2 linked regions of the Styela clava genome follow. The main gene of each other region encodes a partner of the protein of the gene in region 2 in a complex. Links are inferred from orthologs where the notes say so. Each region holds a gene or a part of one and is shown on either strand. Other genes may lie near its edges.

Region 1 (15,597 bases), on a different chromosome or scaffold from region 2:
CTGTAATGAAATGTACAAATAATGCAAAAAAAGTACTTTATTAAAAAAACAGAAAACAATTCCATATCACATGAATAAAAGCAAATACTGTACAGTACAGTATTATCTTTTATATTTTTTATGGAGTGCGCGTTCCTAACGTCAAAACAGCGTCATGGAGTGCGTTCGTAACCTCGAAACAACGTAAGTCGCGACCGTCGTAACCTGAAGACTCCCTGTATATGGTATCGATAAACTCCCCTCGGCCCTCGCAATTTTGAAAATTTTAGGACTTTATGGACACCCTATATATTCATATTGACCGTGATGCATTGTTAAAGTAACTTATACATAACAGGATCACCTGAATTTCGGCCAACTCCGTACAAATATTAAGGAACAAACTTATCACATCTCAATATAACTCACCTTAGCTTGATTGTCAAAGGCAAACTGAATATCAAGACATTGAGTTGAAAAACACTGAGAAAGAATGTGTGGAAATGATCGAAGACTTCCGTGAAAAAATACCAGAACACTCCGACGTTCGGTGTCAAATCTGGTACAGTGACTCTGAAATTGTCAAATAAAATGATAAAAATATGGTTCACAAACTTTGTTATGGACAGGGCTATAGATAAAAAACACTCCGAATATATATGCAAAGGTTTCATTTGTGATGAAGCCCTCATTACTTATCGATCTTAAGATCGGTAAGTATGTTGATAGGTATTTGTCTGTATGGAACAAAAAATGAAAATAAAAGAGTTAGTGATATTCGTAGGGTGGGATAACTTGTAAAGGTCCCTGACTTGAGACTCGATCCCACAGCTCTGCAGAACACTCTATGTGGTATAGCAACGCCTAAAACAGCCACAACATTTGACCCTGCTGTATACTGTTCGTCCTTTTTTAGCATGGTGTTTTGGTTTGAAAGTCATTTTTCGGTTTGTGCTGCTTTAAGACTCTTAGTCGACGTTTGAGCTAATAAAAGCCTAGTGTTTGTTTCTTTCTGTATTAGGTTCATCACACTCTATAAAAATTACAAAAAACGTACATGAATTTCACAGTAGCAAATGCAGAATCCCATGATTCAATACAAGATGCTCCAAACAATATCAAACTCCATACAGTGAAAAGTAGAGTAATTTTCATCGATGTTGCATAGATATGAGAGGATGATTTCTGAATACAAAATATTTTTTATATGTATTTAACTGTATTTTACAATCATTACAATAATACAAATATCGTACGATGACCTATCATTGCCACGCAGTGATTGAAATAACAAAATGACATGAAACATAGAACTTCTAGGACGAAATACAAATGAAGCAAAATGAAAAAGCAACAAAAAAAATATTTTGGATAAAAAAAATTACAAACAACTAAACAAGACACAATTTATATGGATAAATTCATTTTTTTGTATTCAAATTATTAAACATGTCAATCGATTTTACACACTTTGATATTAGATACAAAACACAGTTACCTCAATGGTCTAACAGTTGAAGCGATGCACCTATTGTCGCAGTTTTAGATTCGCCCCATACCCACCACTCCCTCCAAGTTGTAACAAATTGGGTAGACAAACGGAAAGACCTCAGTCTAATTACCGTAAAACTAATATCTCCTTTCTTATCAGTGGCTGCTTATACAAGAACCTATTAGGATGTAAAAAATTTCATAAAAACAAGTCTTACCAAATGAAAATGCATGATGACAGGAGCCAGCAGCTGAACGGGATAAAAAGTTTGATAAGTTGTCAAAGCTAAGAACAGTGTTGATTGGACTGCATTGCCTGAAACAGAACAAAATATCACATAGTTTGAAATTCTGGGATAGGATTGAAGTAAAATTCCATGAGGACACCATAAATATCTAAAATATGACGTTATTATGCTCAATGCAGGCACAATAAGAGTCATGGCGATCTAAATAATGAATATTCAGAAAGGGAACCATATTATTTTATGATTATGCAATGGTGGCATGACCAAGGGCCATATTCGCCACACTATCCGTACCCATGGATTCGTAGAATAATAAATTGATAATGCAAATATGCAATGCTGAACTGAAAGCCTAAGGCCCTTTCAAAATTAGTAGCTTGCTCAGAGTGAGAATGTTGTACACAGAAATAATTACCGGTACCTTTTACAGTGTGATAGAAGAGTTGACAGAGGAATAAATTATTGAAAACCGTTGTTGATTTTGCAATGCAGGAGGCAATCAGGAACGGATTGAACATGTATCTGAAAGTGGAAAAATATAGTAAAAATTGTTTCCAAAACACACATTTTTACTATGCGTTTTTTAACCTTCATCTTGAATGATGAAAGGTAACCTTTGATGCAACCCACTGTAACAAATTCAACGTTCTTTGACCAGTGACCAATATCACTCAGAATTTAGCAAAAACAAAAAGTGTGCGAAATATAGCATAAATCATTGAATTTTTAGCAGTTAAAGCATGGTCCTTTTACTGCTCAATCTATCTCAAGAAGGGTAGAGATTGAGAACACTTGAGGCTACCCTGGTTCCTAGATTGTCCTAGAACCCTCACAAATGGCCGTTATTATTCGAACAGTTCAATAATTCGGCCTAGAATTAATTCAATTCTGAATATTCCAAATGCGTTGAATTTTGTCACAGAAATAAGAAAAATCGGAACTAAAATAAGGAAAATTGGAATAAAATTATGGCCTAACCCCAACCTGGTACACACATTACGAAAGTACCAAAATTTCATTGGAGATGATAAACCGTGCAGAAAAACCATACACTGTGACTTTTTACTTATCAATTTCAAGCGGTAAGTATGTTGATAGGTATTTGCCCGTCTGTATGTCTGTTAGATGCACACGATATCTCACGAAAGCGAGATTGAATCTGCTCCAGATTTTGCATGTGCATTCATTATATGTCGGACCAGAAGCCTATTGATTTTGGATGAATTATGTCATATAATTAGCGAGTTATTAATTAATTAGTGATGGGACACAAGGTGTCACTATGGAGTCATGAATCGAAACCGCAATTTCGATCGATAAGTCTTCGGTCTCCGACCAATATTCTCGTTTAATTCTTGACTAAACCTATTTCAGTAGTCCTTATGAACAGCTAGCGGACTTGAAGGATAGTACCCCGAGGTAAATGTGACATTGAGCTGAAACGAGTCAGCTTTGGAATCCAGAGCTAACATATAATTTGACAGCTCAGCCTAGATCTTTTGACAAAAGAGATTTCGTTTCCAGAAGAAATAATTCTGAATTCAATTCAAACTAAACGCCTAAAGCAGGGATCGGCAAACTGTGGACCGAGGGCCAAATGCCACCCTCAAGCAAATTTTTTGTGGCCCCCGAACAACCTCATTTTCAATGCATGGAACCGATAATTGCTCGTAAATTTATTATCTGCGGATGTTTGCTGTAACAATGGCTGTTTTACGGCATTTATTTTGTAGAAGTAGAGGAAGCACATGTCAGTTTACTAGCAAACGTGCTTACCGCCAGTTGTAATTAACACAGAAACAGCAGTTGCAGGCGCGTCACAATTGTAAGTTTATGGGATGAAATTAATGTAACCGCATGCTACCGCCAATGGGCATAATTGGCCCAGTAGTACATGAAGTTTGCAGACCACTGGTCTAAAGTATTCAACTTACAACATGCAGATTAGATCAGGAATCCACTCTGCTCTGTTTTCTTTGATCATTATTCTGTCGGAATCTTTCGCAAATTTGGATTTGTTTTTCTGCTGTTCTGATATCTGAAAATTGCAGGAATGGGAAATATAGAATCAATCCACATATCATTCTAAAACAGGGGTGGGCAATGTTTTTGAACAATGAGCCAAAAACTGTGCCTACCTACCTAGACTGGCGGGCCATGTAAGTGTGACTTAAAGTTACATTTTATGACTAAAATTTTATTTACAGTGTTACCATACCGAAAGTCGAAAACAATATACTTCATGCCAAAACTAAATTTAATTACAATCTCAACAAATTCAGATTTCAATAACAACATCTACGTAGTGCATGTAGATTTGGTTGAAAGAAGAAATTTATCAGGCAAGCCAGATTGAATCGCACAACGAGCCGGATTTTCCCCACGGACCGCAGTTTTCCCGTATCAGTCCTAAAATCTTGATGTGCAGCTCTGTGGTAAAAATGAAGCTTCGGAGCTGTAGCCATTATGATTTCTAACCAGTTGGATAGTTTGAAAATGCCACAACGACTTCAACACTTACACTCCTAAACACTAACATTGGACGTAAACCACTCACCTCATTCTCCGAGTAGAGTTTGGTGAAAGAAAATAGACTCAAAGCAGCCACAACATCAGCAAGCTAAAAATAAGAAAAATATGTTATCAATATGTTATCGTCCTTTCAAGGAATATTTACAGATAGAAGATATATCATAATTGCAAGTAAAAACTAATGCAATAATAAGAACTATATGGAAGAGCACTGGCTCACTATATATGCCAATAAAAAATGAATGACAGTAGACTTGAAGTGTTTAGGATAGGATTTACATATTTATCCTGAGGGATTAGAAAGCAGATAAGACGGCTTAATCATATAGAGAACCATGGCATCTCGTCAAGTTACCAGTCTATGTCGGGTATGGGATTTGTTAGCCAGTTATTAGTTTCAGATGCATGAATTTGATGGTGGAGGATGTCGTAACCGACCAGCAATTGCACATAATTATAATAAATGAGACATGACCGAGATTAGACTAGTCAATTGGAAAGGCGTCAATGCAAAATGGATCAATTTTCAAATTAGAAATGAAGTGTCTAGAAAAATTCGAAATAACAAAATAATTCTGAAGTGGTACAATCCTAGCAATAGAATACAATGTCACACAAACTAAAACTTACTACAAATATGATTGGAAACAACAGTGGAGAAAATTTCTTCAAATTTAGAAACAAGTGGAGCATCAATGGTGTCTGAAAATAAAATGAATTTATTCATTAGTGTTATTGTAATGAAACTCGATAAACTTGTCCGCCATCCGGTTTATCCCCTTATTGCCAGATATGGTCACCCAGAGTGGCCCATTTGGAATAAACATTCGTGGCACCCAACTCAACGATTGAGTTGGACTTCTTACCAATTTAACGCTCCGAGGACTTCGTTCCTGAAGCCATTAATCATTCACTTTACCAGATAAAGCAGTAACAAAGACACAATGCCATGGTAATTACCAAGCCTTGAAGCTTTCGTTAATGCATTTAAAATAAGGCCCGCCCCCATCAGATGGCATGCCAGACATAATATTAAACCTATTCGTGGAATTGCCAATTACTTGGTATATAAATCGATGGTTCTTAAACTCTTTAATCCTAGAGTCTCGCGCCCCACCTCAAAGATAATAAACTAACAATAAGCTACAAATAACAGATAGTATGGCGAAAGTATTTTTTTTTCAAAAAACATATCGAAAATACAAGGATGGATCGTAAAAATCCAAATACGACAAGCAAGATCAAATCTGACGAATATTTTCATTTTTAATCAGCTTCACTTGCCCTCAAAAAATTATCTACCTTCCCCCCCCCCCCTGTGTGAGCACAAGCTTTGATTTACGGTATCAATAATATTGCACAATTAATACTGCTACTCACATCATGGAAAGAGTCCCCGTCATACAAAGATATGTTGTATTGATGAAGTGCCATTCCTTCTTTCACTGAAACAAAAGTCAATACTTAGGATACGAATCAGATATTCAACCCATGAGAAAGAGAAAACTGATAAACCAGCTTCATCATATGGAGAACTAATGCCTTCCATGGGTATAATTTACCATTTTGTTTGAATCAAATTCTTTAGTCATTCCTAGTCAAAGCACAAAAAGAATTTAAAATGAAAATAGAAACAAAACTGAACATAGAGCCATAGAGGAAAGTCAGTTTCATTCGAATATTTGAATTATACATCAGCACTGCCATGAAAGGAACCAGCTTTTCAAAATTTCTAAATCAGGACAAAACAGTGAACGTTAAAATTTAAAAAATAGATTTTTTCTAAATATTGCAAAGGATAAGTGTTCTGTGAGCTGGTATAGTGATACCTATACATATTCTTGAGACATTTGAGACATATTCGCCAAACTTCAGGTTCAAATTGGTACTCCCATTGTGTTTATACCGGGTTAGAATTAGGGCATCATTTCATTCTGATTTCCCTTATTTTAGTTCTATTACGAGTTTGGGGACTGTCTGTGTTAGCGAAGTGAATATACCCCCTGCCCATAGGTTTCAGTCCCTTTACACAACTTTATGTAAAGTAGGCAAACAAAATTAACTACCTCCATATTGGTACACACATTTTTGAAGCGCCAAAAATCGCCATTCAAACCCTGGATGAGGTGATTTTCAAGCAATATTGATTTCTGAACAACTTTAACAATAATCCACTCACATCTAGTCCATGATGATTGGGGAGTTGAAACTTCGGGCCTGTCAATCAACCATTTTTCTATGCTCGAAGATGCAAAGAGACACGCCCTAACTGCCACGCCCATAAGAATGCTGCTTTCTTTCGATAACCTGAATGAATAATACGATATTAATTTTTAAAAATTGACTGCGTATCTTCATCCTTGTATAACAGTTGGTAAAAAATTAAACGAGTCATCGCAGAATACTAGGTACTCCACGATGGTGAGTCCAGCAATTCCCTGACAAACCTATCCACAAATTCGAAACTGCAATGACAGGGCCATGACATTGGGGGAAATTTACACCAGATTACAAGCTCGCAGATTCGACTCCTTGTTGACAAAAAGACATAAATTTAGCTCCAACAAACCAGAAAACTAATAATTTTTACCTACAAAAACTTGAGGTGTGCGGAGGCCTTTTTTTGGTCTTTGAAGAATGATTAGTCTACCTAATGCTTTTTGGTTCATCGGAAATCTCACCATGAATTTCAAAATTTCTATTCGGGCTCTGACTCGCAACTGCGGAAGTTCGAAAATATAAGTCGAAAAGTCGACTCAAATGAAACATGCAATAACGTACACCCAGCACTGCTGCAGAGGAGGGTAGCCAGGAATGGGGGTTTGTGAAAATTCTAATTGCCAAGATAGACTGTGTACGATAATAGCTGGGTGGTTATTTCAAAAGGAGTGTTTCCTCCCTGGATAGACCCTTGCCCTGGAGGTCTTTGAGAATCTAAAAAGTGTTTCAAGCTCTGAAAAATTGGTATGTATGAGACAGAAAAATGCATTTTTTTACATTTTAAAAATTGCGTTCAGACCCCCATCTCCCATCCTGGAAATTGGGGTCTGGTATAGTTTAGTACCACATGCACTTCTAGTTGGCCTGGCTCAGCAATTTTTGCATATGTCCATCCGGTGACCGTACATTTGAACCCATGTACATTTGAACCCATGCGTATATCCACGGGTTCAATCTATATGCGGGTGCTAAAACCCATGGGTTAGGGTTAGTATGGGTTTAACTATCCGTGAAACAAAAAAAATTCCATAGGTGCAACAGCATACAGGTGCAATTGTCATGGGTTCAAATGTACGTGGGTTCAAATGTAATGGAACCGTCCATCCTAACCCCCACCTGACTACGTCACCGAAAAATTACGTTTTTTCAACGTTACAGTGGCGTAATAAGGCGCACCAAAGAATGCGGATGCGATCACCCGAAATCGAGCAAGCTATTTCTCTCGTTTTCTCGTCACAACGATCACGATAGGAGAGATCGCCGGCTTCAGCGAGTTCGTTATCGGCGACACAGATATCATTTTGGGCGATCGTAATTATACTTCTGCAAACCATATGACGTGATGGTGACGTCGTAGTGACGTAATTTATGGATGGCATAGTCAGGTGGGGATTAGGAATAACATATGCAAAAATCGTTATGCTACGCCCACTGAAAGTACTTGTGGTACTAAACTATACTAGACCCGGAAATTGCCCCTGCTGATGAAACCCCATACAGAGGGAGTCAGAATCATGATTTGAACGGTGTTGCTGACACTCAACAATGCTAGAACTTGTAAATATAAATATTACTTACATTTTGATCGGTTGACAGCTTTGGGAAACAAAGTTTGTGATATATAAAGTTTATCTAAGGTATTTTCAAGTTGGCCTAACTGGAATTAGCTGAAAAAAATACAAATTCTCATTAATTTTTGATTACTTTGCATAAGCATTATGAATTGCATTTTAAATTATTATTAACAGTTGGATTTTCACATGTAAGATTAAAAAAAAAAAATTACTTTAAAGATGTAAAAGTGAGTGAAGATTAAATATAAAGGTCTTCCTGCTCAGAACATATTCAGAAAAATGTCTTAAATAATTATAGATTGAGGATGAATTTTGTAATAATGTACATGCTTTGATTTTCTACAGTTATCAAAAGAGCCAGTTACACGATTTTCTATATTATTTCGTACAAAGTGCATTCTCAGGATGGTAGAAAAGGTAACTACTGATTAGTATGATTACTGATTTGAGTTTGCTTATCAGCTGTCCAAATGACAATTTAAATGAAAATATTTTTAACTTATTCCAGATTAAAATGGATAATGTAATGAACATTTCACGTTCTGCCAAGCTTCCCAATTATCTTTAAGTGCTTTGCCAGCCTAACGGATTCAATATATTCACAATGAAGTCACTGAGATACAGAGAATATCATTTAAACCCTGCATTCAACATCAGGTTATGAGTGTTGTGTAGGCTACATATTTGGACCAGTCAAACTCCAATGATTTGGCCCGTCTAGTTAGAAAACAAAATTATTACAACCAGTCACACTTCAATGATTTAGCATGCATAGTCAGAAACCAAAATATTCTGACCAGTCACACTTCAATGATTTTCAATAAAGATATGTTAAAATGCAATTTTAAAGATTTGCAAATATTTTCGACTCGTGGATTACTAAATTGGGAACAGTTTGAAGTTCATGTATAGAGGTGACTCCAAGTAGCTTCATCGTCAATTCAAATTCATCTCTCAATATTTCTAGAACTTTTTTGACTCCATGCACCCCACCACAAGCAAGCCCCCAAATCACAGGACGTCCTATAAACACTGCTTTCGCTCCGAGTGCAATAGCTTTCGCTACCTCTCCTCCATTCCTAATCCCACAGTCGAAATATACTTCACATTTATTGTTTACGATTTTCACAATATTAGGAAGGATATTTATTGAAGCAGAGACTCCATCTAATTGCCTGCCTCCATGATTTGACACAATGATTCCATCCACGCCATGTTCTATTGCCTCTAGTGCCATTTCTGTGCTTATTATTCCTTTGAGTATGATTGGTAGATTTGAAATTGATTTTAACCAATCATAATCCTTCCAGCTGAGAGTAGAATCATATAAATTATTAGCAAATTCCGCCATTCCAGATTCTTTAATGCCACTAACTTTGTAATTTTCTCCAGATGCTTCAATTTCAAAATTTTTTAGGGATAAATTTGATGGCAGAGAAAATTTATTTCTAACATCAGCATATCTAAGGCCGAGTACAGACAAATCAACAGTCAAAACAAGAGCTGAAAAACCATTATTTTTTGCTCTTTCAACCAATCGTTTCGTCACCGTTCTATCTTTGAAAACGTAAAGTTGAAACCATTTCAAACCGTTTGGAACTTCAGAGACTAACTCTTCTATACTGGTAGTAGACATCGAGCTTAAAGTAAATAATGTTTCGAGTTTTCCCGCTGCCTCTGCAGAGTCAATTTCTCCTCTTGTTGAAGCCATTTTTTGAAGTGAAGTCGGTGCAATACAAATAGGAAAATTTATGGTCTTTCCTAACACCGAAGTAGACAAGTCTACGTTTGAAACATCTCTTAAAACTCGGGGTTGAAATCGCCAAGATTTGAATGCTTCACAATTTTCATGTAACGTTTGTTCATTTGTCCCCCCAGAATTATAGAACCCAACTGCATTTTGTGTAAGATGCTTTTTTGCTTGAACTTGGAAATCTTTAATGCTAATTAAAGAATCCATAATACTGTTGAAGAGGAATTTACAAATCAATTTGATAAAATGATTCGAGCATGACAAAAACTTGCTGACGTTGCTGTATCAAAAAACTCAAGCATGCAAAAGACGGAATCAAAATATCAAACAAGATACTGTCCACTGGCATTGGATTCAGAATTACACAAATCATATAAAATTGCAATACTGGTGAATATATGGTTCTAAATGCCATTTGAATACCCCTTTTTCTATTGGGCTGGAGATTATGGGCCTCGTCTATATTGGACTGCCATATACATATACACAGAAATTTGAGAGTAGGAATGGATATATCCAGTGGTGGGATTCAGCCGGTTCGCACCGGTTCTATAGAACCGTCTCGCGGAATTTTATGAGATCAGCAAACCGGTTAGCATTACTAAAAAAATATATCACAGAACCGGCCGAAAAATATGACTTCTGTGATGGAACAGACCACTGGATATTATGGTCCCAATTGGCCCGTTTCATGGTGGTATATTGGACAATATGAACAGGTTAGAAATAGGGGAAGGACATATTATTCCACTCATCATTTAAAAAGCCACTTCCATAGAGAGGGACTAGTACCAGACTATAATAGACAGCAAGTTGGAAAGAGAAATGAATACCCGGTTTCATTCCAATCAATAACCAAATAGCTAACCTCTTTTGATGACTATTTGGCTAGATATGGACTGCAGGTTTGGAATAGGAACTAATATATAGGATTTCTATTTGAATGGCCCTTTTGTAAAGGAATGTTGTGCTGCTATGTAGATGGCAAGTGCAGTAGATTTACATGGTGCCAATCACCATTTGAATGACCTCGCCCATATTGATTTATTGAAAAAGCAGAACCAGTCACATACACAGGCTACTGATTATATTTACAATACCATGCCATGATATTGTTCCGCTTAGTCAAGGTTAAAAGGTCATTCAAAGGTTCCACTGCAAAAGGACGAATGTTAAAATAAATAAAATTCCCAGACATGTACATCCATTTGTTATAATCCAAGCATAGCCTCCCTGTTGATAATACAAATCTTCCGGCTTGACAGATAACTATTACTTTACTGCTAAATATATACAATGAAAATAAATTAATACGGGAACAAACATAATAAAAATATGGCTGGTAGTAGGTACTACAGCGAGTAAAAATATAAATAAAAATCAATTTTCACAAGTTTCACTTTCAATTGCATACTCTCAGCAATATTATCCATAGAAAATTTTTGGCAGTCGACATTATTAACAGGTAAACGAGAATATCGGTCAGAGACCGAAGAATTATCGATAATACTTAAATTCAAATTTGACCCAAATATCCAAGAGTTTCTGCTGTTCGACAGAGAATCTATTATTTTCAGTAATTGTGGTGACATCATGAGCCCTGAGGGCCAGACCAATGAGAGATGGTGCAAACTTTTTAGATTCTTGAGTTGTTGAAAACTTTTTTCAACGTCTTCATATCTGTCCCCATACTTTCTGCCAGACATATAACAACACTAAAACATTTTAATTGCTGAAATATATAACAAAAACAAATTAATGTGCAACAAACATAATCAAACCATGGCCAGTGGGTATTACAATTAATAAAAAATACAAAGAATAATTAATTTTTGAACTATATGAATATCAATTGTATACAAATAGCAAAATCATGGCATAGAAAATATTTGGTAAATTAAGTAAGCAAATAAAATGGTTAGAAAATAACAGCTATATTCTATAAAATATGGAAGGAATGTCTTATAACAGTGGTTCCCAAGGTTGATTGATTGGGGCCAAAATTAAAAGCATACGGTTACTTGCGGGCCAGGAGAGTGCCCACAAAGGACAGATACCGTATAATAAGGATATTATAATTGAACAAACACATACTTAAACTGTAATAATGAATTCACACTTGGTGGCATCTGGAACACAATAAGGAAAAATTGAATGCTAGACTATTCAATTTAAGTTCGGTGGGTCATCTTAAAACGTCAGGCAAGCCACGATTTGGGTACCACTGTCTTTTATTCAATAATTATAAAACAATCGCATTGACAGCCATATTTTCTTTCTCTATTCTATTCTGTTCCTATAAACTTCCTATAATTTAATATAGTTTTGACTCAAACCTAACAAAAACACAGTTAATATATAATATGAATCATCATTTGTTAGAGCATAATGCCCAGCCATCATATATTACAAGGGTTCCCAAGCTTTTTTCATGACGACACCAAAGACAACTTTCAAGTGTCCAGTGCGACCCCATGTCAATATATATATTTTTCATGAAACTTTAGAGCTTCTTTCACTGGACTTTTGAGTATGGTCATGTGGCAGTATTAAGTAAAATAAGCTAAAACCAAACAGTGATTTCACAATAAGCACGTATATTTTCTATAGCTAAGCATAGAGCGACGCTTATGGGCCTGTTTTACAGTAAGCCATGGTACAAACTGCTGAATTCAACATGGTTTGTCAAATCTTAGATAATTTGTACATCCATCCTCTACCATACTTCAGCGACCCCATGACCTGTTTGCGACCCTACCGACTTATCACTCCGACCCAATTTGGGGTCGCGACCCCTGGTTTGGGAACCCCTGATATATAATATAGTTTCAGCAGCTCATGGCATTCAATTGATTTCCCAAAACTTTTTTTCCTTTCTCCATAGCAACTCCTTGAGTAAGTGCATGTGATTTCAACAAATTGATTTGAGGGAAAATGAAAGAAAACATTCAAATTGGAATTAAATTCGTCATTATTCATAATAAGTTTATATTAAAAAAGACACCAAAAATACAATAAGTGCATATTTGCTTTTTGTATAAAGCAAAAATAGGTATTATTAAAAGCTCGGCTAACCTATTCAAATTTTTTGATAAGAGACACCAGAAACCTAAAATATAAAACTAAAAAGAAAACATAGGCTACATAGCAATCACTAATGCAGTTGTTTTCAAAAAGGGCACCTCAGGGCACAGTCCAGAGGTTCCGCAGGTTTCCATTTAAATCCGTGAGTCTGTACTATTATATGTATATTGATAAAATATATTCAAATACACTGGTATGATCAAATCAGCTTGTTTTATTAGTATCTCGTGAATAAGTGAGACCTTCAGGTGTTCTATGTCAAATTGTTGTTCTACATTTTAATTGGAATATTTTATGATAAGAAATGTAATTTATAATAAAATACACACTTTGCAAATTGCATAAACACTCCCCGAGTCTCTAGAACTTTTGGATAGGGTTGACAACCGCTGCACGAAGCCAAAAAAATTGAGGAAAAGAGTTTCCAAGGAAATGTTGAAATTTGAATCTTTATATTTTTTTTTCAAAAATTCAAATTGAAAAAAATCTTGTTTACACTGAGTGAAACTATGAAAGTATTGAACTAACAGGAGACATCAATGTACCAATTAAAATTTCTACAGTGCTATAGTTGGTTATAAGATGGATTTTGGGATCCCAATAATATATGAACAGTCACATTCACTAATAAAAGTGCTTTGTTTATGGGTCACATTCATCTTTATCAATGCATTCACCATTATTTGACTAAATTTTAGAAATTTCCAGCATTATCGAGCAAAAAATGCAAATAGAACAATTATTGATACTGGTGGGGGGGAGGTCTGACTTTCTTGCTCACAATTGGGAGTCTTCGCTCACATTCTGCATTGTCGGCTCACTGACTTCAACATCCGAAGTATCCAAATTTTGTCGTTGTGCCATTATTTCCATAGGAACAAACTCTTGGTCTGAACTTTCATTCCTCTTCTGCAAGGCTTTTATGAAAATCTGAACCAACCAAAGTGTTCGAACGAATGAAGTGAAACGTCTTTTCAAATCATCAGAGAATTCGTGCACAGGCCTAACCGGGTCTTCTTTGTTTTGAAGATACTCATCAGTCAATTGCCTTATTTTTAGTATTATATCCTCATCACTGGTATTAGAATGATTCTGTTTCCAAGCCAACAGTGTTTGAAATGCAAATTCATGGAACGAACCTTTATTATCCTCAGCAATAATTGCAACTTTATTTTGATTCAGTGACAATCCATTTCCCGATCTTGCGAATTTTTTAAATTCTTTTGGTGGAATTTTTTCAATAACTTCATGAAAAACATCTTCAACCCTCTCACCAAAAGAAACTGTGTCCCGCTGTGACTGATGATATTTAGTAACAAGATCTTTTAGACTTTCTGGAGTTGCAATATTCCCGTTTCTTTCCTTCCAAAGCGCAAGTAGTTTGAGTTTCTGCTGATCGACAGAGAATTCATTATTTTCAGTTACTGTATTGATATCATGAGCCTTGAGAACCAGACCATCGCAAGATCGTGCAAATTTTCTAAATTCTTCAGTTGTTGGAAACTTTGTCACAATTTCCATGAATACATCTTCAAATCTTCCGCCCATATTTTTACTATATTTAATGTGAATAGAAATTAGGTAAGCTACATTACAAGAGTGAAAAGATTTTGCTATTCAACACCATTTTGTCGCAAAAAAACGTACTTCAATGGTTGTTTTGCACATTCTATGTGTACCGTACCGTACTTTGGCGTACAATTTTCATTTTTACTTTGAGCACCAGCGACCTTGTTTTGAACAAATATTAGAATATGCGTAAAAATGGAATATATATTCAATATTTCTTAGGTAAAGTAGATTTAATAAAGATTGATTAATTAAATATCGCAAAATTACTGAAGCAATTGTACATTTTTTGTTACCCATCTCTACATCGTACTGTCTTTTTTACTGTCCAATGTACTTTTTTTGATTAATCCTTTTTTTGTGCCAAATAAAGTCCAATGACAAACAGAATTTTCGTATTGATATTTTTAGAATCGAATCATTAATTTTGAATACAAAAGTTCATCATACCATTACCACAATGACACTAATTCTACCCAACCGGTCGCTCTGGGACCATTTTACATGGATTATTTTTTGTCAACCATTCGGCCCTAAAGCTTCACTCGTGGCTTTTTAATAGCGTGTGCTAGAGTTCTATTCAGCAATATACTCCTTATAAAAATATTTTTTCTATACGCCAAAATTTCCATTGAACTTGCGAGATTTTGTGTCCAGTAGAGGATTAATAATTATTCCTAGTTAAAAAATTTTATTTCAACGTTTTCTTGTGTTATTTTCCAACAAAACAACACAAAGACCACTATTATAGCAAGAATGATTACTCCAAAATTCACGGTTGTATTTACAGCATTTTCGAGTTCAAGGGTCCAATTGACAATTTTGATGACGTCACACCTCTAATTATTACTTCACAGGCCCCCATCAATGCAAAAAAAATGACTTTTTCCGACGGAAATGCGCGTAGATAGACATAAACATTCTAATGCCCGTCGTTACGTGTAAAAATGACCAATAATTTTACGTTTTTTTCACGTTCAACTCCCTAGTTGCTTCGATCGTGTTCTCGTAAATAATAATATTCGAAATAGCAGAAGTCACGAAAATTTTTTTGTTACGTATGTGAGAAAATCAATAGCACAAGAATCGATCACATGCTTTGGTCCTAAATTGTGGAATCCACTGCCTAACAGTATTAAAAGCTCAA
Region 2 (15,777 bases):
ATATAATTTGGCTTGTATATACCACCCATGCTTTCTGTAATGCCACATTTCTGTATGTCTGATATAATTTTTCGATGAATGTTTTTTGAATATTTTTAGGTAATATTTCCCACATTACAATAAGTAGAAATGAGTAAACCTGAAAAAAGCGGAAGCTTACACCACTTGGTCGAGGCTACTTACTTAGCTCACAAAAAAGATATTAGGGATTATGCTTCTGGTCACTTAAATCCGGATAAATTAGTAAAACTGCCCGTTAAGGATGACTTTGCTTCACATGTGCCATGGAAAAGCTCTCGAATGGTTGATGAGAAAAATGAAAATCCTTTTGCTAGAATTGCAGAGACTCGAAAAAACGCAGATCATATGTTAGTTAATAAAGTGGAATGGATGAAAAATGCACTGTTGGATTTCAGTGTAGGTACAGTGGGAACATTGCCTGAAACAAAAGGCACAAAAAAGAAAAAGATTAAGCGCAAAAAATCAAGACAATTTCCACTACGGGGCACAAAGGCTGAAAACAAGCTCGAGTCATTGGTTTTGTCAGAAATTGCCAAGCTAATGTCGGAGCCAGATGGACCATTTGCGCTAGAACAATCAACTCCAAAGCCAGATCAGAGCACTGCCAAAGAAGAGCCAAAAACACCCGGCAGAATTCCAAGAAAGAAGTATGTCGTGCCATATGGATCCAAGTATTCGAGCACTTTGACAGAAGAGATTAAATTGCCTGAATTAATGTTGCCTGCAGTTGACGAAGCTGTGAGAGTACCTCCTTCATTAAAAGATCCACACCCTTCCATCAAACAGCAAATACATGAAATAACCGATAAAAAATTTGTCACAACACATTTTGCAGGAATTACCAGAAAAGATCGGTTTAATAAAATTCTGGATTTTGACAGAAATGTTTTACATCGATATGAGACAATGGAAAAGAATGTAAGAGATGGACACAGAGCAGCGGACCATTTGGAACAAAAACTCATTAGAAAACTACTGGAGTTAAACGACCCAAGTAAACAAGTTAATTCACTTAATTTTGAACGATTGCAAGCTTATGGTGAAGTATGGCATGATTTATGCTTGGATTCATCAATTTTTGGTCCCATTTTATCAGAAACTAAGGATGAATATGACAGATATCTATCAGACCTTCTTGATGAAATGAAAGCAACAAATCATACCGAACTTTTGTCCTGCTTAAATGCTGCCGACGGAATGACAGGAACCAATGAAGAAGATGTTGAAACACTGCAAAATACTGTGGAAGATTTAGAAGAACAAGGTAGGCAAGGTCTTTTAAAAAATGCTGAATTACACAAAGAAATTGAGAGAGAACGTGCACTTATTGAAGAAAGAAAAAGACAACAGGAATTAGAGGAAGAAGAGAACAGGAGAAGATTATTACCCAGTAAAACTTCAAGTAAAAAAACTGTCACTATGCAAAGTACAAGACAAGCATCAGCAAAGAGAGAGAAAAACACCGAAAAAAGGTTACAAGATCTCCGTGCAGATATTTGGGAAAGGTTAGACAGTATATCTGAAAAACAACATGAACTGAAGTCAGAGTTTGTGCCAAAAACTTTGCATAGAAATCTACAACATGCCGTACAAGATACAGAAAATGAAATGCAAAAACTGATGCAACAAAACGAATATTTAACAAAAAACATGAGAATACAACAAGAGTCACTAGAAGCTGATTTAGCAAAATTCGACTCCCTTGGCAAAGAAAACATTAACGAGGTTTTATTAGAATTAGGTGTTTCATAATTTAAGTTTTGTGTTTATTTTAGTTTCCATTTAAAAACCGGTAATAATGATTGAGTCATTTAGTTGAAATAAAATTAAGGTATAAGATAATGGGACTGTTCAAATTTTAATCAAAATTCGTAACTCAGAGATATCATTGAAACTTTGTCATTAAATTACCGCCTGCTTTTTCAGTTTTTTTTTTTAGAAGATAAAATAAAAATAGCACCCTGCAGCATAGTAAATTGCTTTTTTTTCGACTTTCATAAACTCAAACAAAAACATAAATTATATGCACTGCCAAACGAGAATGGAATTTTTCACCTTTTTATATAATTCTTTCTATGCCAATGTACAACCGATTAGTTGAACTTGAATAACTATACACGTCTATTCTATCAGAATGTTTGAAAATAACATACAACTGGACTATCGATGTGTGTCATACAGTGTATTTATTTATCTCAGTTCAATTCATTGCATAAGGAGTAGAAAAAATAATGTTGATCGATAAACCAGTATTTTACACATCATTTCATTTGAATATAAAACAATGTCCTGTGAGAATTGTGGCTTCAAAAGACAACACATTAAAAGTACCTGATTCAAATTAGTATGCCATTTCAAACAGTTATAAATAATATACATCTCCTATCACCGCTACTTATATAGTTTCTAAATTTTGTAATTTTACCAATAACAATATAGAAATTGTTAATACATCATGCTCATTACTTTTCCATATGACATCATAAAGAAACTACTACTACATTTCGCAGGGGTTTACATAAGTTTTAGTCAAGGCCACCTCCATAACTTCAAATTTTTATGCCACGCTTCAGCACAAAAGTGATCACCATGTCACTCTGTTTTTTGCTTCTCCTCATCACCTTTTTTCATTCTCAACCATTTGATAGCAGCAATGAATGAGCCTAGCAATGGCAGACTGATGGGTAGGAATAAAGGAATATAAATTGCAAATTTTTGATCTTCTGGAAAATACAGCAGCTCAAGCAATGTTGGATCAAAAAATGCTGTTTCTGATGCTTTGAAGGCAATATTGGATATATTTAACGCCCTTTGATCATCTGATTCATCTAGTGAAGCTTTTGCTTTCTTTATTGCATCAACAGCAGTGTAAATATGACCTGCTATTTCATCATTGATAACAATGTTGTGAATTTTCCCTAGGAGTTCTGAGAGTGTATGAATAGCATGTACCGACGTAGCAATATTTTCAAAAGTTCTTTTTCGCACCAAATAACTCAATTCCAAATCACTTATGCCAGCAATTCCCCTGTCTGCAACAGTTATTTCAAAGTCATCATTGGGCGTTTTAGTCATCTCAAGACCAAGTAAAGATCTTAGTTGTGCCACGAACACTTGCATGATTTCAACACTGTCTAGTTCAACAACATGAGGAAAGATAGTATCGTTGCTTTTTGGTGCATTTTTGATCATGATGGAGCCCCATCTCGGAACAAGAAATGTGTTGGTAGTTGAATAACTCTCGTCAGCATGTTGAATATAAAGAGGATTGTAGTTATCTGAAGGAGAGCATGAGGTTTATTAAAAATAAATCAAAGAAATAAAATGGGGTTTTAAAGATCGCAATCACCCCTATGCTGTCACATTAGAAAGAATTTCTATGAATTTGAATCACTGCTAAGTGTCATTTATCTCGTCTTTAATAATAACATCAACAAACCAATCTATATTCTTAATTGTTTTTATTTGAAAAAATATCAACTCGGTATAAGACGATTGAAAATTTTCACAATTGTAATCTCACTGCATTTGTAACAATACAACAAATCATGAATCAAAATTTTTTTTTTGTAGATGCTACGTTTATATTTTTAGATAGGACTAAAAATTAAAATGCCAAGTAGATAGATTTCCTAAGTATGTAGCAGGTCTATGACATCCAACTTCAGTCTGACCAAAAAAATCTTATTCAAAAACTTTATTTAATTAATAATTATACAATACATAATTCTCTCTTTTCAATATTTTTTCAGCAGTTCATGCATAATCTAGTTATAATTTGGCAAAAAATCATAGTGTAGGTTTAGTATCATCAGTTTAATAAGAATCATGCCACTGTAAATCAACCCCAAATTATTTATCTCGACTTACCTTCTGACATGTAAACAACAAAATTCAAAGTTGGGTTTGGAGATATTTGAGCACCAAGCCTTGATTCGATTGGATTCACAACATGAGATAGCTGTTCATGCGTTAGATAAAATTGCTTGATATTATCAAGAGTTTTGGACTTTGGCTTCACAGACAATCCAGAATAGTAGAGAATCTAAATTGTAAAATTTAGGCATACGGTGCAAGTATTTGGACTATTTGAAGTATGGGTTGCCGTCAGAACATATTGCTTTGATCAACGGAGTTCACTAAATGGAGATCTAGTTTAGGGGTTCTCAACCAGGGGTAAAAATTTCAAGCAAAAAAGTACCTAAATTTCCTAATTACTTCTATGAAAATGCAGATTTATTTAACACTTTCGTCTGTGTCTGATTGTACCTAAAAGTTTTAGTAATAACGAATAAATGTCTAATTTCACACTTTATGTACTGCAGATTAAAATTTAGATTCTAGAGTTACTGAAAAAATTATCAAGAAAATTATTCAACAAAGTTATGTTACTTGAGAACCAATGTGAAATTCTGCAAAGTTTCCCAACTTCTTAATCATAGGTTTAAGATACATGTCAACTGCTTCTTCCATATTCCAAGTTGCTTGCAGTTTATCTGGTTCTGGACATAACAATGAAAAAACAATGTCATATCCTTTGTCTGGTTGTACAGTCTTCCTCATGTGAAACTCTCTGTCCTGAAGGCGAAATAGAGAACAAATAAAACAAAATTCTAAATACACCAAATTTTCCCCAATGCCCTTCAAATAAATTCATCAAGATGCCTAATTAAACGATATTATTAACCCGGCCATGTCGCGAGCTTAAGTTCATTGTCCTTTTTTATTAATTTTTCAATAAAAAGTTCAAGAAAGTGGTTGGTAGGGAGGTAGGTGTCTATTGTTGGATTGGATTGATCAATCTTACAATACTCCTTAATTTTTACAAAACTAGTTAGGATATTGAAGATAATGGATGCTGTCATCATTGCAAAGTCTGAAAGTGGTACCGGTAAACCACCCTCTTTTTGACACCCTCAAAAACCTGAAAACTCAAGAAACCAGAGCTCATCAGAAACTTTTCAATAGAGCTGAATCTATTCATATCCATTTTCAGCAAGACTTATCAACCTATTTCTGTATTTATCCTTATTCCTGTATCCATTGAAATAGGATGAGGAAGATAGGTATCTGCGATTATTGTAAATACTGAAATAAAGACAGTACTGCAGTACGCTACATATTAATGTTCTAAAGATCAAATTCTCACCTTTGAAAATTGAATGTTTGCACCAAATGCTTTTCCCACTGCATCATTGAGAGCTTCAGCATTTACAATGTTTTCATTAATTATTTTCATCAATCCTTTTGAAATTTCCAGGCTTTTATATTCAATGAGAAGTATTCGGTTCCCTTGAAATGTTACCTTGGCATTTTCAGCATCACTTGAAATTTCGAATACCAGGGTTATGTCGTTTTTATATATTGAACTAATTTCAATTGCATTATTTTGGTGTTTAATATTTTGAATATCTTTTTGTGTGAGCACAACTGTGTCAAATTCATAACTAATTTGAACAAATTCGAGACCAAACGACCCTTCAAAGTTATTCTTGATGTCTTCGTTTAGCTGCTCGGAAATAGATGCGATTGTTACAATAATTTTGGTGGAGATTTTTGAGTTTGTTACCAGATCGCTTATTTCCGAGTAAGGAATATCTGCCCGATAGACTTCTGTTGTCTTCCACCAAATAGGAATTCCAAAACAGAGAAAGACAAATCCCATGCATAAAGCTGCCTGCATTTGAGACCGCCTGTCATTTAGACTCTCCATATTAATGTCAGAATGTAGTGTCGTTCTGGTGCGGGAGAATCTCGAACGTTCAGACGGTCGCGCGTTCCCGATATACGACAGAACTACTACAATTATCAATTCGTTTTTGAAGGAATCCCCACGCGGGATATCATTTTTCGAATCTCGATACGACGATCTGTTTTTATTTTTACATTATCAATATTATTGTAGAAAAAGAAAGTTGACAAAAAAATTACATAAACTTTCAGCGACAGAATAATAGCTCGGAATTCCCGAGTATATTTTATACTCATGGACATGGTGTTTATATTCGATTTTAGACGTGTGTGATGTAACAGCATATATGACAGTGGTTCTTAAAGCATGGGTCACGACCCAAACATGGGTCGCGGAAGGTTTAAAAATGGGTCGCGAGTCGCGACAAGGTCGTTAATGCAAGGGCAATCAAAGAGGAGACGGACGAATTTTCAGATTTCCCAATGTTTCAATTCCAATAATGGAATATAAAATTTCATTCACGGAAAGAACTGTCTTGAGCTCATTGTTACATCACAATTCTGATATGCCAGTCACGTGTATTATTTTTATGGTATCGGTAACCATGCAACGTTGTGTTGACCGCGTGGAATGTCGTCTTAGTGGATTAAAATAACCAAAAATGGGTGTCGTTTTGGTATTGTAAATTGTAATAGACGACGCAATGAAAAAGCTCGCTTCTCGACATTAGATTATTCAATATCTAGAAAAAATGTGACTTCATCTCGAGGCACCATTTACCGCGAACGAAGCGGTGTGTGCACATTTGATGAGTAAAAAGTTGTATATTGCGAGAGATACCGAAGGCCAGCTAGGATGTCGTGTTTGCGACGGACAGCGGACGCCTCTGTTGCTACTATAGGGCAACAAAGATTCGACCCTATCAGCGTGTCCACACTCCCGTGTTATTGAACACACGTTAACAGAGTGTAACTCCGATCTTGACTCTTTCAGAGGTCAATAAGCACACAATGTATTGAATGCCAAATGTTATATTGTAAAGTTGCACAATCGAATTGATCCAAATAACGAATTACACTTGAAACCTTGAAGCAAGTATATGTGATGAAACCAAATTTCTAACTAACAAAGAACGGCAAAGACAAGCTACACTGAGTGAGAGAAATATATCATAAAGGAAATGAATTGGGACAACGACCTTGTTTCAGGCAAATAACATGCACTACTAACAATAAGTGGTGAAAATATTGAAATACACAGTAACTATCCTTATGTACTTGCTACACTACAATTCGCGACAAGGCACTTGTGCGAGCGAGGATATTTGGCACTGACGGTTATCAAAACTAAGCTCGCAATCGCCTCGATACCCGTGACAACTTGCGTGTTGCGTTATGTAAAATAGAGCTGTGTATTGAAGATATAATGAAAAGGAAATTTCAGTTTCATCAATCTCACTGAGTCAATGGACTGTTTCTAATAAATAGTTGTCTGTATTTGAGTCAAACTGTACTAACATTAAAAACACATTTTGCGTTATTTAGGATTGGGTCGCGAGTATTCATAAAACTCAGATTTGGGTCGCGCTCGAAAAAGTTTAAGAACCACTGATATATGATGATAATGCTGACTCTCTTCAGATTCAGATTATTTATTTTTGTCGTGCATCTGTCGCGGACAATAGCGTCTGCGTTTATATTGTGTGTATATAAATTTTCATGTTTCGTGTTTTTAGTTCTTTGGTGATGTTTTGTTTGACTGTTATATTGGAATTGCCGTACTGATTCATTCACAACCACAGTAGCAACATCTCCCGAAACTGTGACAATGGCGAGGATGGTGACACGTCAGGATTACATCTTTCCAAAAAAAAACTGACACATGAAACATTGTAAACACTAACAATACTAAATCAAGGCAAAAAAAAGACACACAATTTTTTCAAGTCATCGTGTCAGCATAGATTTTACATAAGAATGTACATGCAATAATACCGTTATGCATTGTCTCTGGTGTCAGCGACACCATAACTTATGGTCCATAAGTGCCGAGTTCAGCAGCAGATGACGTCAAATAATTTAGCTGGATTCAAATAAGTAAAGAGGAAATTTGAGAAACGTAAATCGAATCGAGAGAGTAAGTCGATAGAAAAATGATTAAATGGGAAAGAAATATCCATCGTGTCAAAATTTCTGAAAAAATATATAGAATCAATCGCTAAACCCCATGCCACTATGCCATATTCAATATGGGATTGGAACAAAAGGTAGTATTACATACGTAAAGTGGTTAGAGATGTAAAATGTCGAAGAATATATAGTATCCCACTTCATTTTGTTATCTATATATACCAGTTTTCAAGGATCATACCATCAATTCTAATGGACAGTTGCTTTTATATGGAGATAGTAGCATTGTTTTTGATTCGTCAGTGTTTATTGTTAATTTGTTGGCCCTCATCCAATTTGCTACTTTTGAAATTTCAATGTTCACCCTTAATTGGAGACCGGAATGAGATTTGTCTGTCAAGGAGATTGGTGTCATCGGCAAATATTTTGAAAAATAGCGAAGAACAATGGGTTATGTCATTAATTAAAACTAAAAATAGCAACAGGCCCAAACAGCTGCCCTGAGGAACTCCGTGTGTTATTGGTAAGGGAAGTGAACAATATGTTCCTACTTGGACATGCTGGGATCTGCCACCTAAATAGCTAGAAATGAGTTAATTTGCTATATTCCTTTATAGCGTAATGTCTCAACTTGAAAACAGAATGTTATGATTTACGGTATCGATGGCCTTCTTTAGGTCTAGAAAAGTTGCACTAATGAACTCTTTTTTTTCTAGGGGGCAGAAATGTTTGAATGTGAGTTTCGGGTATACGATGATGCATAATTTCGAAGTGTTCAGATGTTAAATACATCAGCGCAGCATGTTTTTTAGGTTGCTTCTGTAGTAAACACTCAAATATGTCAAGAATAGATTTGCGAAACAGGAGTCAAAGTTTTTCTTGTTCGGAGTCGGACTCCGAATTCAAATTTTGGATCAGGGCCACAGGGATATATAAATATAGAGTGCGCTTCTCTCTCATTTCCGTGGGACCATTTGAAGGCTCTCTCGTTTTGTCGATAGACTTCCAACTTTTACAGGCGCGTAATGCATTTCTTGTGGGATTTGGCACAAATCAACCATTTGCGTCAATTTTTCTTGCATATTCTCCAGATCTTGATTAGTTTAGAGGGTCTGGCTAACACAAACAGTAGGCTACCCGAACTCGTAATAGAACTAAAATAAGGAAAATCGGAATAAAATTATGGCCTAACCCCAACCTGGTACGCACACTACAATAATACCGACTAAAGTGCGCTTCGCCCTCAACCGAAGACTTAGGTGAAATGTTTTCCGTGGAGGTTATTGCGTTTTTATGATATCAGGCAAAAACAATTTAGGCCGCGAGTCGAGGCCATTTATCTTTCAGTTTCGTAGCGCACATAAGGTAACTACCTGAAAATGATTTTAAAATGTTCCTTAGAAATTTAGTAACCAATATTGCCTTGTTCCCCCTTCCAAAAGTTGCACGTTTTACAGAAAAGACGCTTTTCGCTATATATTGAAATGATTCTTCCCGTCATGATGGCACATCGTCATATTCTATGACAAATGGTATAATACTGGGATTTGTTAGCAAATTGATAATATTCACGGGGGATATATTCGGTTCTTTGCAATGCTTAATAAAAATGATCTTGAGACATCATAGCAGAAACAAAATATATACCATGATATGTTTGACGGTTTCGTTTTCCGAGCAAATGTCGCAAATACCTTGTCGTGGCAGCCAATTTAGTGCAGATGATAGCCTGTTTGTAGCCTGAACAAGATTATTTCATCATATCTTTGAGATAATTTGAAGCTAATGTGATCTTTAATAGATGGAAAGGATAATTGGAAATGTTGAGCTCTTTCTAGTGTGATATAGTAAATATCCATGTCGCAATTTGCTTCGTTTTTCGAAAGTTTGATCCACGCAAAATCTACGAAACTATTTTGCCTCCTGGGAGAAGATAGAATAGTTTTAATTGTAAAAATTAGTATATGGCCAAGAGAAAAAATCTTTTCATCGCTGTCAAAGCCCAGACAATTGCAACGGTACGACTTAACCGGAATACCGGTAGGTGCTCGCCACTAATACAGTCTAGTAATACTGTAATAATTAGTTCAGAAGATCCAATGCGCTGCAAAGACACACAAATAGGTTCGAAGTTCACGATGCAAACGAAGAGACTTTATTAAAATAGTGTAAAATTCACGCTTAAAGCAGATAAAATAAAAGCGACAAAATACAGTCCTCACCCAGCGACAGCATAAGCAAGAAGAACGAACGCTGCGAACTGCAGCCAGTTCACATATGCAGTGGTGGTTGGAGTCGAGTAACTGAAACCAACTGTCGGGCGAATTGGGGCTCAGACTCCACACACCAATGCATATGCAATAACCAGACAAGAAATATAAATAAAATGATAAACAATAAAAAATAGTACAACTCCAGTCCCGCCACAGCCTCAAGTAAAATTAAAACATGTCACGGTCGAAGCAAAACTATCCAAAGCAATGTCCTACACGCAGCAAATGTTTATTTGTGAAACATCGTGCTTCTAAATACAAAATGAAGAACCACATCTCGTATCCGTCGTTGATCCATTCGTATAAATTAATAAGTACTGCTTGTTATTCTCGGAAATATATTCACCACATGCTTGTTTACCTATAGGTAAGAGATTTGTTTTTGATATCATTTTAGCAAGCGATAAAATCAATTGGAAATTTCATTTCCCACGGTGGTGACTGAAGAGCTGGTACACAATTAAAACATCCGGTGTTGTTAGCATGTTACAGGTTTTAAAAATGGGTGATTTTGGATAAAGCTCGCGCCATGTTTGTTCTATTATGTTGGTGTGCGGATATGGCGTATTCAATAATATTTTTTTCTTATACTTCATGCAAGCCTGTTGGTGACGAAATTTCAGCGGAATCTCTTTACAGGTATCATTTAGGCAGCAGGTTTTTCTAATTACATGCTTCGGTGAAAAATAATATGCCTCTGTTCCGTATTCAATTATTCAACGTACTAGAACTCTGTATAAATTAAAGCAAGATTTTTCTAGAAGCTCCCCATGTAGTGCCCGTAAAAAGTCTCAACAAATTTAATCTTTTATCAGATTTGTGTGTTACATGTTCCACATGAGCTTTGTATGTCAACTTATTGTCGAATATAACGCCAAGATATTTGTATTCAATTTAACTGGTATTCCTGTCCATCAATGCAGAGATGTATTGGTGGAGACTTACGTGATCTCGAAAATAATACAGCACACGTCATCGAGATGGTAAATCTCCACTTAGGACACCACTAACTGATTTGATTTGGTGTCGTTTGCAAGTCCGATATAAGTTCGTTGATTTTTGAACTAATGTCACAATCATCAGCGAATGTTCTGGGTATCGAAAAATTATTATTTCGAAGATCGTTTATCATAATTGTAAATAGCAATGAACTTATCACGTTTCTTTGAACAATACCATTTTCCATTTAGGAATTGTTAGAATACGTAGATCCAACACGTACCTGGAATAACCAGTTTGATAAAAAGGGCTTTATCCAAGATAAGACTCGACCCTTTATACCAGGCCTGGGCAAGTTGCGACCCGCGGGCCACATCCAGCCCGCTGCAACTTTTTATTCGGCCCTCGAGCATGCTGAATTTAGACACTTTCTTTTTTATTTACATATAAAAATTTACTTCAACTGCGAACAAACGGAATTTTTACGAAAGTCGGTAATAACGTTTGACTATTTTTTTTTTAAATTGCTGATTGTTTTTGTCAGTTCGAGGTGACTCCTCAAATCACAAATTTTCAAGGATCATACCATCAATTCTAATGGACAGTTGCTTTTATATGGAGATAGTAGCATTGTTTTTGATTCGTCAGTGTTTATTGTTAATTTGTTGGCCCTCATCCAATTTGCTACTTTTGAAATTTCAATTGTCACCCTTAATTGGAGACCGGAATGAGATTTGTCTGTCAAGGAGATTGGTGTCATCGGCAAATATTTTGGAAAATAGCGAAGAACAATGGGTTATGTCATTAATTAAAACTAAAAATAGCAACAGGCCCAAACAGCTGCCCTGAGGAACTCCGTGTGTTATTGGTAAGGGAAGTGAACAATATGTTCCTACTTGGACATGCTGGGATCTGCCACCTAAATAGCTAGAAATGAGTTAATTTGCTATATTCCTTTATAGCGTAATGTCTCAACTTGAAAACAGAATGTTATGATTTACGGTATCGATGGCCTACTTTAGGTCTAGAAAAGTTGCACTAATGAACTCTTTTTTTTCTAGGGGGCAGAAATGTTTGAATGTGAGTTTCGGGTACACGATGATGCATAATTTCGAAGTGTTCAGATGTTAAATACATCAGCGCAGCATGTTTTTTAGGTTGCTTCTGTAGTAAACACTCAAATATGTCAAGAATAGATTTGCGAAACAGGAGTCAAAGTTTTTCTTGTTCGGAGTCGGACTCCGAATTCAAATTTTGGATCAGGGCCACAGGGATATATAAATATAGAGTGCGCTTCTCTCTCATTTCCGTGGGACCATTTGAAGGCTCTCTCGTTTTGTCGATAGACTTCCAACTTTTACAGGCGCGTAATGCATTTCTTGTGGGATTTGGCACAAATCAACCATTTGCGTCAATTTTTCTTGCATATTCTCCAGATCTTGATTAGTTTAGAGGGTCTGGCTAACACAAACAGTAGGCTACCCGAACTCGTAATAGAACTAAAATAAGGAAAATCGGAATAAAATTATGGCCTAACCCCAACCTGGTACGCACACTACAATAATACCGACTAAAGTGCGCTTCGCCCTCAACCGAAGACTTAGGTGAAATGTTTTCCGTGGAGGTTATTGCGTTTTTATGATATCAGGCTAAAACAATTTAGGCCGCGAGTCGAGGCCATTTATCTTTCAGTTTCGTAGCGCACATAAGGTAACTACCTGAAAATGATTTTAAAATGTTCCTTAGAAATTTAGTAACCAATATTGCCTTGTTCCCCCTTCCAAAAGTTGCACGTTTTACAGAAAAGACGCTTTTCGCTATATATTGAAATGATTCTTCCCGTCATGATGGCACATCGTCATATTCTATGACAAATGGTATAATACTGGGATTTGTTAGCAAATTGATAATATTCACGGGGGATATATTCGGTTCTTTGCAATGCTTAATAAAAATGATCTTGAGACATCATAGCAGAAACAAAATATATACCATGATATGTTTGACGGTTTCGTTTTCCGAGCAAATGTCGCAAATACCCTGTCGTGGCAGCCAATTTAGTGCAGATGATAGCCTGTTTGTAGCCTGAACAAGATTATTTCATCATATCTTTGAGATAATTTGAAGCTAATGTGATCTTTAATAGATGGAAAGGATAATTGGAAATGTTGAGCTCTTTCTAGTGGGATATAGTAAATATCCATGTCGCAATTTGCTTCGTTTTTCGAAAGTTTGATCCACGCAAAATCTACGAAACTATTTTGCCTCCTGGGAGAAGATAGAATAGTTTTAATTGTAAAAATTAGTATATGGCCAAGAGAAAAAATCTTTTCATCGCTGTCAAAGCCCAGACAATTGCAACGGTACGACTTAACCGGAATACCGGTAGGTGCTCGCCACTAATACAGTCTAGTAATACTGTAATAATTAGTTCAGAAGATCCAATGCGCTGCAAAGACACACAAATAGGTTCGAAGTTCACGATGCAAACGAAGAGACTTTATTAAAATAGTGTAAAATTCACGCTTAAAGCAGATAAAATAAAAGCGACAAAATACAGTCCTCACCCAGCGACAGCATAAGCAAGAAGAACGAACGCTGCGAACTGCAGCCAGTTCACATATGCAGTGGTGGTTGGAGTCGAGTAACTGAAACCAACTGTCGGGCGAATTGGGGCTCAGACTCCACACACCAATGCATATGCAATAACCAGACAAGAAATATAAATAAAATGATAAACAATAAAAAATAGTACAACTCCAGTCCCGCCACACACTCAAGTAAAATTAAAACATGTCACGGTCGAAGCAAAACTATCCAAAGCAATGTCCTACACGCAGCAAATGTTTATTTGTGAAACATCGTGCTTCTAAATACAAAATGAAGAACCACATCTCGTATCCGTCGTTGATCCATTCGTATAAATTAATAAGTACTGCTTGTTATTCTCGGAAATATATTCACCACATGCTTGTTTACCTATAGGTAAGAGATTTGTTTTTGATATCATTTTAGCAAGCGATAAAATCAATTGGAAATTTCATTTCCCACGGTGGTGACTGAAGAGCTGGTACACAATTAAAACATCCGGTGTTGTTAGCATGTTACAGGTTTTAAAAATGGGTGATTTTGGATAAAGCTCGCGCCATGTTTGTTCTATTATGTTGGTGTGCGGATATGGCGTATTCAATAATATTTTTTTCTTATACTTCATGCAAGCCTGTTGGTGACGAAATTTCAGCGGAATCTCTTTACAGGTATCATTTAGGCAGCAGGTTTTTCTAATTACATGCTTCGGTGAAAAATAATATGCCTCTGTTCCGTATTCAATTATTCAACGTACTAGAACTCTGTATAAATTAAAGCAAGATTTTTCTAGAAGCTCCCCATGTAGTGCCCGTAAAAAGTCTCAACAAATTTAATCTTTTATCAGATTTGTGTGTTACATGTTCCACATGAGCTTTGTATGTCAACTTATTGTCGAATATAACGCCAAGATATTTGTATTCAATTTAACTGGTATTCCTGTCCATCAATGCAGAGATGTATTGGTGGAGACTTACGTGATCTCGAAAATAATACAGCACACGTCATCGAGATGGTAAATCTCCACTTAGGACACCACTAACTGATTTGATTTGGTGTCGTTTGCAAGTCCGATATAAGTTCGTTGATTTTTGAACTAATGTCACAATCATCAGCGAATGTTCTGGGTATCGAAAAATTATTATTTCGAAGATCGTTTATCATAATTGTAAATAGCAATGGACTTATCACGTTTCTTTGAACAATACCATTTTCCATTTAGGAATTGTTAGAATACGTAGATCCAACACGTACCAGTTTGATAAATCTGGAATAACCAGTTTGATAAAAAGGGCTTTATCCAAGATAAGACTCGACCCTTTATACCAGGCCTGGGCAAGTTGCGACCCGCGGGCCACATCCAGCCCGCTGCAACTTTTTATTCGGCCCTCGAGCATGCTGAATTTAGACACTTTCTTTTTCATTTACATATAAAAATTTACTTCAACTGCGAACAAACGGAATTTTTACGAAAGTCGGTAATAACGTTTGACTATTTTTTTTTTAAATTGCTGATTGTTTTTGTCAGTTCGAGGTGACTCCTCAAATCACAAATTTTCCTCAACATATATATGACTTGTATACGGAACTGTGGAACCATTGAGAAAAACGAGTTATTATATAATCATCGGCGACGAGATGCTAAAGATAAATAAAGGAGTGAATCGGCAACTTAAATCTAGATTTTAGAGCGCCAATATAAAATACTAAAAATTGAACAGAAACAAGTTTTGATTTAGAAGGCCCCTGAGAAGTTAGAAACGCTGTTGTAGAAATCGAAAACTGAAAAATTTCTGATGCCCACGACACACATTTGATTTGAGCTGCTTTCCTGCGCGCGATGTACCTTTTGAACAATTCCAAAACTACCGACGGCGCCTGATTGATATATAAGATATGTATATAATATAAAGTAAATTGAATCGAATCATGGTACTAAAATGAATTTTACTCTCTGTGGTTTTATTGCAGACGTGGGGATTTTTGAAATGATAAAATCTTTAAAATAGAGCTAAGTCATTGTTGCAAGAACAGATCAGATTTCGCGAAATCGAATAAAAATAATCTGGCACTTCACCTCACATCTTTATATCCGCGGAATGCGGTGGTATTTCAGAAAGGGCTATATTTTCCTATA

The links.
Region 1: the proteins of GPI-anchor transamidase component PIGS-like (region 2) and GPI-anchor transamidase component PIGU-like are in contact, whole or in part, in a cryo-EM structure (PDB 8IMX), measured with the Homo sapiens proteins. The link is inferred for Styela clava from reciprocal best matches to the Homo sapiens genes PIGS and PIGU. Residues at the interface, in NP_149975.1 of Homo sapiens: Ala4, Gly5, Ala8, Thr9, Glu12, Arg15, Arg18, Ala19, Phe22, Phe23, Val26, Leu30, Leu34, Trp35, Thr38, Thr39, Leu510, Leu511, Phe513, Ile521, Tyr522, Leu525, Phe526; in NP_536724.1 of Homo sapiens: Gln118, Phe282, Glu283, His284, Phe285, Leu287, Phe288, Phe289, Cys291, Val292, Phe293, Ile295, Phe299, Tyr300, Ile302, Pro303, Ile306, Lys307, Lys309, Glu310, Thr417, His418.

What each region holds. Positions count from the first base shown.
Region 1 is NC_135263.1:4,001,559-4,017,155, reverse strand, and holds the start of GPI-anchor transamidase component PIGU-like, read right to left. Parts: upstream 8,163-15,597; 5' UTR 8,051-8,162; coding exon 8,049-8,050; intron 6,558-8,048; coding exon 6,430-6,557; intron 5,696-6,429; coding exon 5,631-5,695; intron 4,953-5,630; coding exon 4,881-4,952; intron 4,339-4,880; coding exon 4,276-4,338; intron 3,757-4,275; coding exon 3,653-3,756; intron 2,241-3,652; coding exon 2,140-2,240; intron 1,787-2,139; coding exon 1,689-1,786; intron 1,165-1,688; coding exon 1,037-1,164; intron 553-1,036; coding exon 409-552; intron 1-408. UniProt on the Homo sapiens protein: Component of the glycosylphosphatidylinositol-anchor (GPI-anchor) transamidase (GPI-T) complex that catalyzes the formation of the linkage between a proprotein and a GPI-anchor and participates in GPI anchored protein biosynthesis.
Region 2 is NC_135261.1:15,372,822-15,388,598, reverse strand, and holds GPI-anchor transamidase component PIGS-like, read right to left. Parts: upstream 5,859-15,777; 5' UTR 5,735-5,858; coding exon 5,171-5,734; intron 4,600-5,170; coding exon 4,414-4,599; intron 4,067-4,413; coding exon 3,892-4,066; intron 3,300-3,891; coding exon 2,614-3,299; 3' UTR 2,183-2,613; downstream 1-2,182. Other genes in the region: uncharacterized protein C6orf118-like, read left to right, coding at 130-1,773. UniProt on the Homo sapiens protein: Component of the glycosylphosphatidylinositol-anchor (GPI-anchor) transamidase (GPI-T) complex that catalyzes the formation of the linkage between a proprotein and a GPI-anchor and participates in GPI anchored protein biosynthesis.